Kluyveromyces lactis: one gene and its partners. The protein of the gene in region 1 interacts with the protein of each later gene in a pairwise test. Links are inferred from orthologs where the notes say so. Each region holds a gene or a part of one and is shown in the gene's direction. Other genes may lie near its edges.

Region 1 (4,091 bases):
CAAACTGGGTACCAACAACATATTTCGCATTGAACTTGGTTTTCATGAAATTTTGGAAACATCGATCGAGGTCTGCAAGGCACATAGAGTAATAGTCAGCCAACGAAAGTCTACATTGAGGAGATATGCTGACAGCTAGAGATCGTTCATCTAGTTCTTCCAATTCGCTCCATTTTTCTAAGAACACCTTATGGCTTTGCTTCGATAATAAAATCTCTTCTGATGAAGTAATGCAACCAGCACAGGCTAAACAGTCTTGCAAACTGATCGATACCTTCTCAGGCTCACTAGATTCAATGCCAACTTCAACTTCAAATGATGGTTTCTTCTCAACCTTTTGAGGTTGAGCTGGTTTCACACACGCCAAACCTGGGCTTATAAAATCGTTCAAATCGGCATCCCTAAGTAACGCACTCATTGTTTCTTTCTATCTTAAAGATCCTCGAAAAAGAAGCTAAGCAGTAGTAGTGTTTTCAAATAAAATAGTCCTTAGTATGCAACTTGAATCGTTTTTGGCTTTGTATTCTGAACGTTCTTATATGGGCTTCTCTTATGCTACTCTGAGTCCATCACAATGAAATCACTTACTAATAAATCCTCTGTCTCAGTTTCTCTTATAATTTCTTTTGAATTGACTAATCAATATGTCAACATCGCAAGTGTCATGAATAACATATTCTCATTCACGTGACTAAAACTTGATAAAGATACCCGCCTTTGATTTTGTTTACGGCAGAAACTGAGAACAATTATTCTCACCGCCGACATGCTTTCGGTTTGGATTTCTGCTTTAGCATTGAGGTTGAAAATTATATTATTAGATCAGTGCCAAAACTGTGATGTTTTATTATGAACTGAGACATCAGTCGAAAAAGTGGACATAAGAAAGAGATATAGTGAAAGAAATACAAATAAACCCTGCACTTGGCTTTGCTAGAGGTTAAACATAGAAGACCTGTTAACGATTAGGTACGTTTAGAAGACTTTCTTATCGAATCGGGTTGCTCTTTCATGTGTTACACGTCTTTTATACAGCATAAAAATAAAGGCCATTCCAAAAAGTTGTACAATACTAAGGGTCTAGTACAGCTAGACAAATTAGGTGCAATCTCTAAATCAGGATATCAGCTCTACGCCGGGCAAGTCATTGAATAAGATTTTCCACTTACTTATTACCTTTTTCCCTTAATATTCCTTAATTTTCAGAACGATAGTTATGATCCTATCGTCGCAGCTCATGCTAGCTTTAATAGCAGTGTCAGGATACGGTAAAGCAATGCAAGTTCCTAAAAAAGACCACGAAAATAGGCAGTATTTTGCAATTGAATCTTATGATGATGTAGGTAATCTACTAGCGGAACACAGTGACTGGAGTTTCGAGCACGATGTTCGAGGCCTTGCCAATCACTATGTGTTCTCGAAACCGTTGCAGAGTTTGGGTAAACGAGATGCGATTGACACAGGATATTCAGAAAACATCATTGATTTCCACGATCTACCCCCCGTTCAGTTACACAAAAGATTGCCTATTGGGGATTCTAGTATGGAACAAATCCAGAACGCTAGAATTCTTTTCAATATTTCTGATCCATTGTTTGATCAGCAGTGGCACTTGATCAATCCAAACTACCCTGGAAATGACGTTAACGTAACTGGTTTATGGAAAGAAAACATCACTGGCTATGGTGTAGTGGCAGCATTGGTGGATGATGGATTGGATTATGAGAACGAAGATTTAAAAGACAATTTCTGTGTTGAAGGTTCTTGGGATTTTAATGACAACAACCCATTGCCGAAGCCAAGGCTAAAAGATGATTACCATGGTACCCGCTGCGCAGGTGAAATAGCGGCTTTCCGTAATGATATTTGTGGGGTTGGTGTCGCCTATAACTCTAAGGTATCCGGTATCAGAATTTTGTCAGGCCAGATCACAGCCGAAGATGAGGCTGCTTCATTAATTTATGGACTAGACGTTAATGATATTTACTCTTGCTCGTGGGGTCCATCTGATGACGGTAAAACTATGCAAGCGCCGGATACATTAGTAAAAAAGGCAATCATAAAAGGTGTAACAGAAGGACGAGATGCAAAAGGTGCACTATATGTATTTGCGAGTGGGAATGGTGGTATGTTTGGCGACAGCTGCAACTTTGACGGCTACACAAACTCTATATTTTCTATCACTGTAGGTGCCATTGATTGGAAGGGCCTACATCCTCCATATTCTGAATCATGTTCTGCTGTAATGGTTGTTACTTATTCTTCGGGATCAGGAAATTACATAAAAACAACAGATTTAGACGAAAAATGTTCCAATACGCATGGAGGCACTTCAGCTGCAGCTCCTCTTGCAGCTGGTATATATACTTTAGTGCTGGAAGCTAACCCGAACTTAACATGGCGAGATGTACAATACCTCTCAATATTGAGCTCTGAGGAAATAAATCCGCACGATGGAAAGTGGCAGGATACAGCTATGGGAAAGCGTTATTCTCACACATATGGATTTGGAAAACTTGATGCATATAACATTGTCCATATGGCAAAAAGTTGGATCAATGTAAACCCACAAGGTTGGCTTTACCTTCCTACAATCGTTGAAAAACAGTCTATCAGTAATTCAGATGAAGTTATAGAATCCACAGTCTCAGTTTCTGCTGAAGAGTTTAAACAAAATAACCTAAAAAGGTTGGAACATGTCACTGTAACTGTCGATATAGACGCACCTTACCGTGGACATGTCTTAGTAGATCTAATATCGCCTGATGGAGTTACATCTACCTTAGCGACAGCTAGACGTTTAGATAAAAACCGCTATGGTTTTCAAAATTGGACTTTCATGTCTGTCGCGCACTGGGGCTCTAGTGGAGTTGGAAGCTGGAAATTAAAAGTAAAGTCTACGCATGATAATGAAATTGTAACACTCAAATCTTGGAGATTAAAGATGTTTGGAGAAACTATCGATGCAAAGAAGGCCAAAGTGATATCATATGGAAATGACAAAGAGGATGCTGAAGTTAAGAGTACCGAATCTAAAACCACAACTCCCACTGCACAAACTTCGTCATTCACGACGACTTCTGGAGAAGAAACATCTGGTGCAAATAAGTTGCCTCGTCCCGAACAGGCTGCCCAGTTATACTTGGCAATTTTTGTCATTGGTGCGATAGTCATCATAATTTACTATTTGTTTTTCTTAAAATCAAGAAGAATAATCAGAAGGTCTAGAGCAGAAGCTTATGAATTTGATATCATTGATACCGACTCAGAATACGATTCTTCGATTAATCAAACTGCAGAGTCTATATCTGGTGAAGTAAATGATGATAACCTTGAAGACTTTAACTTCGACATAAATGAAGAAGAGCTCTCACCCCGTGAAAGTTCAAGCAATAATCCTTTCGGGAATGAATCTCTGGAATCTTTCGACAATTCTCCTGATCATACAAGCAATTTACTAGGGCAAAACTCGATTCCCAACAAATAGAAAGACATAGCATAACCAGTTCATAAGAGATAAATCTCAAAATACTGACGTTTTCATATAGAAAGATAGGTTTTTAGCCTCGAAGTCATATCGCTTGATGTCCAATGATACAAAATGAGCTAAAATGGATGGAATTGTTGCATCATCAACATACTGTAGGCGAATCTAGGATTCATTTTCAATCATGAAATAAGAAGTAACAATTTCCGCATTCTCAAAAAAATGAATCAGAAGTGGAACATAAAAAAAAACATGTAAAACTAGCATAGTTTAAGGTGATTATAGTTAATGGGATATAAAGGATTCTGACATGTAGTTCATTAACAGGGACAGTTCCGACTCACGATTTCACTGCAACGATTAAAAGGAACTCATTCAATTGTGATTAGGGTTAAGGATCTATTATCTCAGTTATCAACTACTTCTATTTTGACGTCGTCCAAGAGTTTAGGGTGGAAGGGTGTAATGACAATGTCTCGTAACTATCTGTGTCTTTTGACCTGCATGTCTCTGGCGGCTGCAATGAATATGGATGATATAGAGGAATATACAAGACCTGAAATTAACGCAGCAGGTAGCAAAACCTTCCATTGGTTGGCATCAA
Region 2 (3,257 bases), on another chromosome or scaffold:
TTTTCGATTCGATGGGTATAAAATTGGATTCGGTTTCTCAACAGAATTTCATTGCGGATTTACAACTGAGATTACAAAATAGAAGCGGTTTTGAGGTACCAGATGTTGTGAATAAAGATCCTTTGCCTTACGAGTTTAGAGCAGTAGAGTCCATTTTTATTTCGGCTATATCTAACCTTAACGCAGAGCTCAAGGTTCACCTGAATGTTTCAACGGGTATTTTGCAAGACTTAGAATATAGTATTACTAGAGATAAGCTACGGTATCTTTTGATTCAAAATAAGAAACTTAGCGTCTTTCACAAAAAATCTTTCTTGATGAGAGAAATGATTGAAGAACTATTAGAGCAAGATGATGTCTTGTGTGAAATGTACTTGACTGAGAAACAATTAGGGAAGCCTAGAGAAGAGCATGATCATGCAGAAATTGAAATGCTTTTAGAAACTTATTACAATCATGTCGATGAAATTGTTCAAACTGTAGGAAATACAATGTCCAATATCAAAACTACAGAAGAAATAATCAATATCATTCTTGATTCAAATAGAAATCAATTGATGTTACTTGGATTGCGTTTCAGTATTGGTTTACTCTCGTTAGCCGGTTCTATTTTTATTGCCTCAATCTACGGTATGAACTTAGAGAACTTTATAGAGGAAGGTAACGTTGGATTCCCCGTGGTATCGACATTGGGGGTTATTCTAATGGCATATCTGTTTGCATTCTCCGTCAAACATTTACACAAGTTGGAAAAGGTTCAGTTAATGAGTCATGGAAAAAGCTCTACGCTAAAATAAAACTATTCGAATAAGTGCTCCTAACGTATTGTGTAAATACTCAAGTTAGGGTAGCATTGGATTTTCCAGCTCTTAAATGTTTTATGAATGTTGTGTATATATAATGTGACATATAAGCATCTAATGCAATTCGCATTAGAATACATACTACTCGACTGCTTCTATCTTTGTTCCAGCGAAAAACACCTGGCAGAATATGATATTAAGGTATAAGCAGTAGTGAAACGGATTGAAACTGTCCGATATTCTAGAATGTTTCACGACTGTATGTTAATATGCAGTACCAACCTATTGTTAAGTTTAACGTATCTTCATTACCCGGGAGAACGATTGTATCACGTGATCAAGGTCGTTTTTGTCCTGGCTCTTGAATGGGGTGCAAAAAATACAATTGAAGACTGGAAAGAAATACTATTATTACATTTGAGATTGAATCATTATAGAAATTTGATAACGGGCTATAAACTGGTTCTGGTTGACAACATCCACGTAAGCGACGAAACTTATAAGCTAGTATAAAGGATCTTTTATTCAAGATGTCAAAGTCAAGTTTTGAGAATTATTTCTCGTTTCAAATTTTTTTCATCTTCTTGAGAGAGTCGTTAGAGATCATCATAATCGTTTCCATCTTGTTGACAATCGTCAAACAAGCCTTATTCTCGCATGATACCACCGCTGAATCCGATACAGAGTCTTCAAAAAATGCTGCCCCGGTTACCATTCAAGAGGAAGAAGCTTCAGATTTATTATTGAGAGTTAATGACTCCGATTCTCCAAATCTAGGTCTAGAAGTTGATAACCAGCAGTTATATAAAAAACTAAAACTTCAAATCATTTCTGGAGGTTTGTTAGGCCTTTTGGCATGTATGTTTATTGGTGGTGGATTTATTGTGGCATTTTATTATGTTGGCACGGATTTGTGGTCTATGAGTGAACATTATTATGAAGGTGTTTTAAGCGTTATTGCGTCTGTCATCATTTCAGTTATGGGATTGTTCTTCTTAAGAATGGGTAAACTTAGAGAGAAGTTCAGAGTTAAATTGGCATCCATCATTTACTCAGACAAATTACTTCCGATGGAAAATGGCGAAAGCAAAGCTAAAAGTTTCAGCGAGAAATACTCATTATTCATCCTACCATTTGTTACTTCTTTGAGAGAAGGGCTAGAGGCTGTCGTCTTCATTGGTGGTATCGGTATCGATAGTCCATTAACCTCTATTCCACTATCGATGCTTTCTGCTACGGCGATCTCGGCAATTTTCGGTGTATTCTTCTTCAAATACTCAAAGTCGTTTTCATTGCAAATTTGCCTTGTGGTAACAACATGTTTCCTATATCTTATTGCCGGCGGATTATTCTCCAAGGGTGTATGGCAGTTTGAACTTCAGAAGTATGTTGATGCTTGTAACGGTCAAGATATGAGCGAAGTTGGAAACGGTCCAGGTTCTTATGATATCTCGCGTTCGGTATGGCATGTTAACTGTTGTAACGGTGAAAGGGATGGATTTTGGATGATTTTGACCGCCATTTTTGGATGGACTAACTCAGCTACCTATGGTTCAGTTAGCAGTTATATTATGTACTGGTTAATTGTTATCGCTGTTATAAAGCTAATGATGCTCGAAGAGAAACATGGATATATTCCATTTTTGCCTGTCAGTCTACAAAGAAGGAGAATGAACAAAAGATTATCTATTATTGAAAAGTCTCTTGCACTCAAATCTCAATCATCCACGAGTGGCTGGAACTCATCTTCCACTACCAAAAACTTGCCTGATATTCCGAGAGCTTCATCGGATACTCACAATAGCTCTAGCCTCCTGTTAGATTCTAATTCGCCTGCTCAAGGTTATCAGTGATGAAATAGTTAGCTATTATTCTTCAAAGTTGCATGTAAACGAATCATTTTCTTGCGTACGCAGTTGCTCCATTTGGAAAAGTTACTTAAGAGAAATACTATATACTATTTAGAAATTGCTGTTGTAATATAACACATTACGTTGGATTATAACAAGTATTGACTGTTTTTAAAGGTGACGGCATGTCAATGTGGGCTGCTGCATGATTACTTACATATTTCTTTTTGGCATATTCTGTCGTTTGTTTGAATACAATGTTCCCTTTTGTACTTAAATTCGAAAAGTCCTTCAATTCGGCCAAAAAAAAATGAGCAAAAAATAAAGATATGATCACCAAAATCTGGGGTAGCGGGACAGTATATATTACAATAAACACCGAAAGCGGTTCACTTGTTTCTAACTTCAGCTTCACTCAGTGAAAACCCGATGTACATGCCGCTGTTATACAAAATCAAAGATTTCACTTCATAACTATAATATCTGTGCACACAGCAGGTTTAATGTCTCACTCAGTGTGTATTGCCTGTGACTTTGACAAAGGGTGGATTTCTTTGTTTCTGGGATCAATATATATTCTACCACAACATGGGAATCTAACACT
Region 3 (3,957 bases), on another chromosome or scaffold:
GGCACCGATACCGTTGGAGAAAGGTGGTAGAGGAGATTCCACAGTCAAGTTATCCCATGGGAAGTAATCAGACATTGGTAAACCACCACCCAAAAAGATCAAGTTTGGATCATTGAAATAATGTATAATTGACTTCAATTGAGAAGGCATACGACTTTTAGTCTCATCACTGTACAAGTGTGAAAAATCCTTAGCAACACCTTGAGTCATGATGTAATATGTATTCTCGGTGAAAGCTTTTGGTTCAATTTAGATTGGTTTGATGCTAAGCCAAGATAATATATCTAAAGTATATAAGAATTACAAACAGTGTATAAACCAAATCTAACTGTGTAAACTGCACAAACTAATCCTTCATAACGCGAATGTCTATTCTATCTTTTCATCTCGCAGCTGCTTATATATACACATATTAACATATACATGAGGAATACTGTATGATTCACTACAGCATATACCATACTGGTAAATTTCTCAACTGAAATTGAAAAAAAAAATTCCAGCTGAAAAAGTAACTTTGGAGAAATTTGACTGCAATTAGGTACAGACTTTTAAGTTTTAGAGAGAGCATACTGCGTAAGACTGATAATAGAGGGAAAAAAATAAAGTGCTCGAGATAAAGGTTGTCACTTAACGATAACGACTGGAATGGCTACATCTTTACATCGTAATATCTTTAGATCTTGTGACTATTCTTCACAGGGTTTCTAGTTTTAAGTTGATTTCTGTAATTAAGGTGTCAATGAGAATATGCCATGCAGTGGTCAGCATCGCGGTAAGTAACGGTTAGTGATGCTGTTATTTCCGAGGCAAATGTCTTTGTTATTTTAGGCATTGGGTTTCCTGGTTTGACTTTTTGCCCTGTCGGTGTTTCGTTTTCTTTTTTCAACTACGGTAAAGTACGGTTAGTTGCGGTAACTATGGGGTAGTTGCGGTATTGGAGAGTTCGATCCATGACTCAGGGCCTATTATGTGACTTCTTACCACGGAAATTGTGACCCATGTATTTCCTTTTGTCGTTGACAGGTTTTCATGTTAACAGGCTTTTGGTATTAGTCACGCGATATATATATATCACGTGACTGTTTTTTGCTTACATAGATTTTCTTTTTCAATGGAGGGATATACTGCCAGTGCCAGTTTTGAAAGTTTCGTGTATATTAAAGCTAAATAAAGGCTTGGTAAAAATGAAATTACTTAGGAATATGGTTTTGCTGGGGTGAATCAACGTTAAAAACGCCTATTTGGTTCAGACCTCGCTGTTTATTTCAGTTTGTTAGACATTTATAGGGCCGTATTTGTGTTATAAAAGGTTGCGCTGTGACTCTCGCTCGATATTTTTTATTCTCTTTTTTATCATTTCTCTCTTGCTGATATTAACAGTAAGGTTTCATGGATGAATCACAACAATCATTAGAATATAATTAGAGTGCTGTCATGTCTCTTTGGCTTTTCTTTGTTCAAACGGTTCTTCTCATTCAATGTGCATTGGGAGGTCTTCCAAATGCCAAGGACTATTTAGTGGCCCCCGATTTGTTGCCTGGGTTAAATGACGTTAAAGATAAGGAACTTATCCCGGAAATGCATGCAGGTCATATTCCCTTAGATGATGGTGATGATGATGATGATGATGATGAGAAAAACTATTTCTTTTGGAAGTTCCATGACCTCGCAAATCAGACGTCTGTCGTCGCATCCAAAACTTTAATTATATGGTTAAATGGTGGGCCTGGATGCTCATCTTTAGATGGGGCTCTTATGGAATCAGGTGCGTTACGGATCGATGACGACGGCGAAGCCTATTTAAATCCGGGTTCTTGGCACACTAGAGGTGATATTGTGTTTGTGGATCAACCTGCTGGTACTGGCTTTTCCACGGTAGGTGATTCGAAATATGATAAAGATTTGAACCAAGTTTCAAAGCATTTCATGAAGTTTTTAAAGAACTACTTCAAGATTTTCCCTGATGATTTGGATAAAGACCTTGTTTTGGCAGGAGAATCGTATGCTGGTCAGTATATTCCATTCTTTGCTAATGAAATCCTAAAGTTCAACTCGAAATTGGACAAAGACGACAATGAGGAGGAAAGCCGAAGTGGTAAGAAGTACAATTTAAAGAGTCTGTTGATTGGAAATGGTTGGATTGATCCTGATCAACAATCCTTATCTTACATTCCTTTTGCTTTGGAGAATAACTTAATTTCAACGAAGGCTGATTACTTCCCTGATTTATTAAATATGCATAGTCGTTGTCAAAATTTAGTCAATAATAATGGAGGTAAAAAGTTCTCCTTTGATGAATGTGAAGATATTTTGACCAAAATCCTTTATTACACCCGCAGAAAGACAGATGAAAATGGGAATAAAGTTCCTTCAAATCAGGAGTGTACGAACATATATGATTTTAGATTATTCGATTCCTACCCAGCTTGTGGAAGCAACTGGCCAGATGATTTACCTAGCGTTTCTAAATTCTTGGGTAAGCCAGGTGTGATGGATTCGTTACATTTGGATGTTGATAAAGTCCCACATTGGAGAGAATGTGACAGTAAGGTGAGCAGTCATTTGAAGAACAAGAACACCCAGCCTTCGATTCATTTGTTACCCAATCTATTGAAACACATGCAAATTTTCTTGTTCAATGGTGATAAGGATATCATTTGCAACTCAAGGGGTGTGCAGGATTTGATTAAAAATATGAAATGGAACAATCATACCGGATTTACTAATGATGCCGAATACTATGACTGGCAATACTACGACCAGTTTACAGATGACACAATTTCTGCAGGTTTTGTGAAGCACGAAAGTAATTTGACGTATGTTTCCGTGTACAACGCATCGCATATGGTCCCTTACGATAATGCTTTAATCAGCAGAGGTATTATGGACATCTATTTGAAAGATGTAGAGTTAGTAGTCGGAAAAGACAATCAAGATGATGTTATTATCTCAAAAGACTTCGTTGTACACTCGGACCACTCAACAGGAGAAGAGGAATTGTCAGCTGATCAAAAACAAGATGAAGATGAGAACTCGCACAAGGATAGACACCGGAACTCTGATAAATTCGAAATCGCTGTCATACTTCTGGTCGTTTTCTCAATTACCGGTACCATTGCATATTATTTCTTGCGTGAACGTTTCAGAAAGCAAATACATGCTATTCTAATAGATCCGGAAAATAGGCCACCTTCATCAAACAAATCCGTTGCATGGGCAGATGACATAGAAAACCAGGGCGATGATTTTAAGTTATCCATTGACGAGGCACCCTCTACTGCGGACAAACCAGCAAAAAACAAATCTGGTTATACAAAGGTGCCTAACACTGATGACGATTCATTCGAACTTGATAACCTATAAGATAGAGATATTTAAGTAAAAACATTACTATATCAAACGCTTAAACTTGAGTTACAGTTTTTTTTTGGTTGTTCATTGTAGCTTGAAAAGCTTTTTCAAATGTCCTTGTATAAACCACGTCTTTTTCCTTTTATTTGGTGATATGAGACTATTCGTGAGACTGAAAAACGATCCTTCATGCTGTATCGTTTGTACTCTTTGTGGAAAAATGGAAGATGAACAAGAAGTTACCGATGAATCTACTAGAGATATGTCTGTATTCATCGCATATTGGTGTTTACGCCAGAATATAAGGATTTTCTTGAACAAATGTTTGTAACTATTAGTCTTCAGTGGTGGTCGTTGTGCTTCTTTATAAAGGAGAGCAGAAAGTGATTCTTCAGCAGAAAGATAATTTTGCTGCCTTTCTAAGGTATTGATAGTATCTAATGCTAGCACTTGTGCCCGAAATTCTATCAAGATTTCTTCAATTTTCTCGGGGGATACGTTCACTCCTAGCATTTTCAAATAGTTCAATTCGTCAGCGTCATTAATATAAAAGAAAAAAGGGTCATCATCCAGTAAATTATTGTTCACGTTACAATCTAATGC

What was found.
Region 2: the proteins of KEX2 (region 1) and FTH1 interact in a protein complementation assay, tested with the Saccharomyces cerevisiae proteins (2 studies listed by BioGRID). The link is inferred for Kluyveromyces lactis from reciprocal best matches to the Saccharomyces cerevisiae genes KEX2 and FTH1.
Region 3: the proteins of KEX2 (region 1) and KEX1 interact in binary tests that used the Saccharomyces cerevisiae proteins (3 or more experiments, as listed by UniProt). The link is inferred for Kluyveromyces lactis from reciprocal best matches to the Saccharomyces cerevisiae genes KEX2 and KEX1.

Annotation. Positions count from the first base shown.
Region 1 is NC_006040.1:1,671,734-1,675,824, reverse strand, and holds KEX2 (kexin KEX2), read left to right. Parts: upstream 1-1,216; coding exon 1,217-3,487; downstream 3,488-4,091. Other genes in the region: iron-sulfur cluster assembly protein NAR1, read right to left, coding at 1-418; YTP1 (Ytp1p), read left to right, coding at 3,953-4,091.
Region 2 is NC_006042.1:2,588,670-2,591,926, forward strand, and holds FTH1 (Fth1p), read left to right. Parts: upstream 1-1,333; coding exon 1,334-2,656; downstream 2,657-3,257. Other genes in the region: MFM1 (Mfm1p), read left to right, coding at 1-797. UniProt on the Saccharomyces cerevisiae protein: High affinity iron transporter probably involved in transport of intravacuolar stores of iron.
Region 3 is NC_006042.1:922,822-926,778, reverse strand, and holds KEX1 (serine-type carboxypeptidase), read left to right. Parts: upstream 1-1,437; coding exon 1,438-3,366; downstream 3,367-3,957. Other genes in the region: ARO8 (bifunctional 2-aminoadipate transaminase/aromatic-amino-acid:2-oxoglutarate transaminase), read right to left, coding at 1-210; KLLA0_F09977g (uncharacterized protein), read right to left, coding at 3,439-3,957.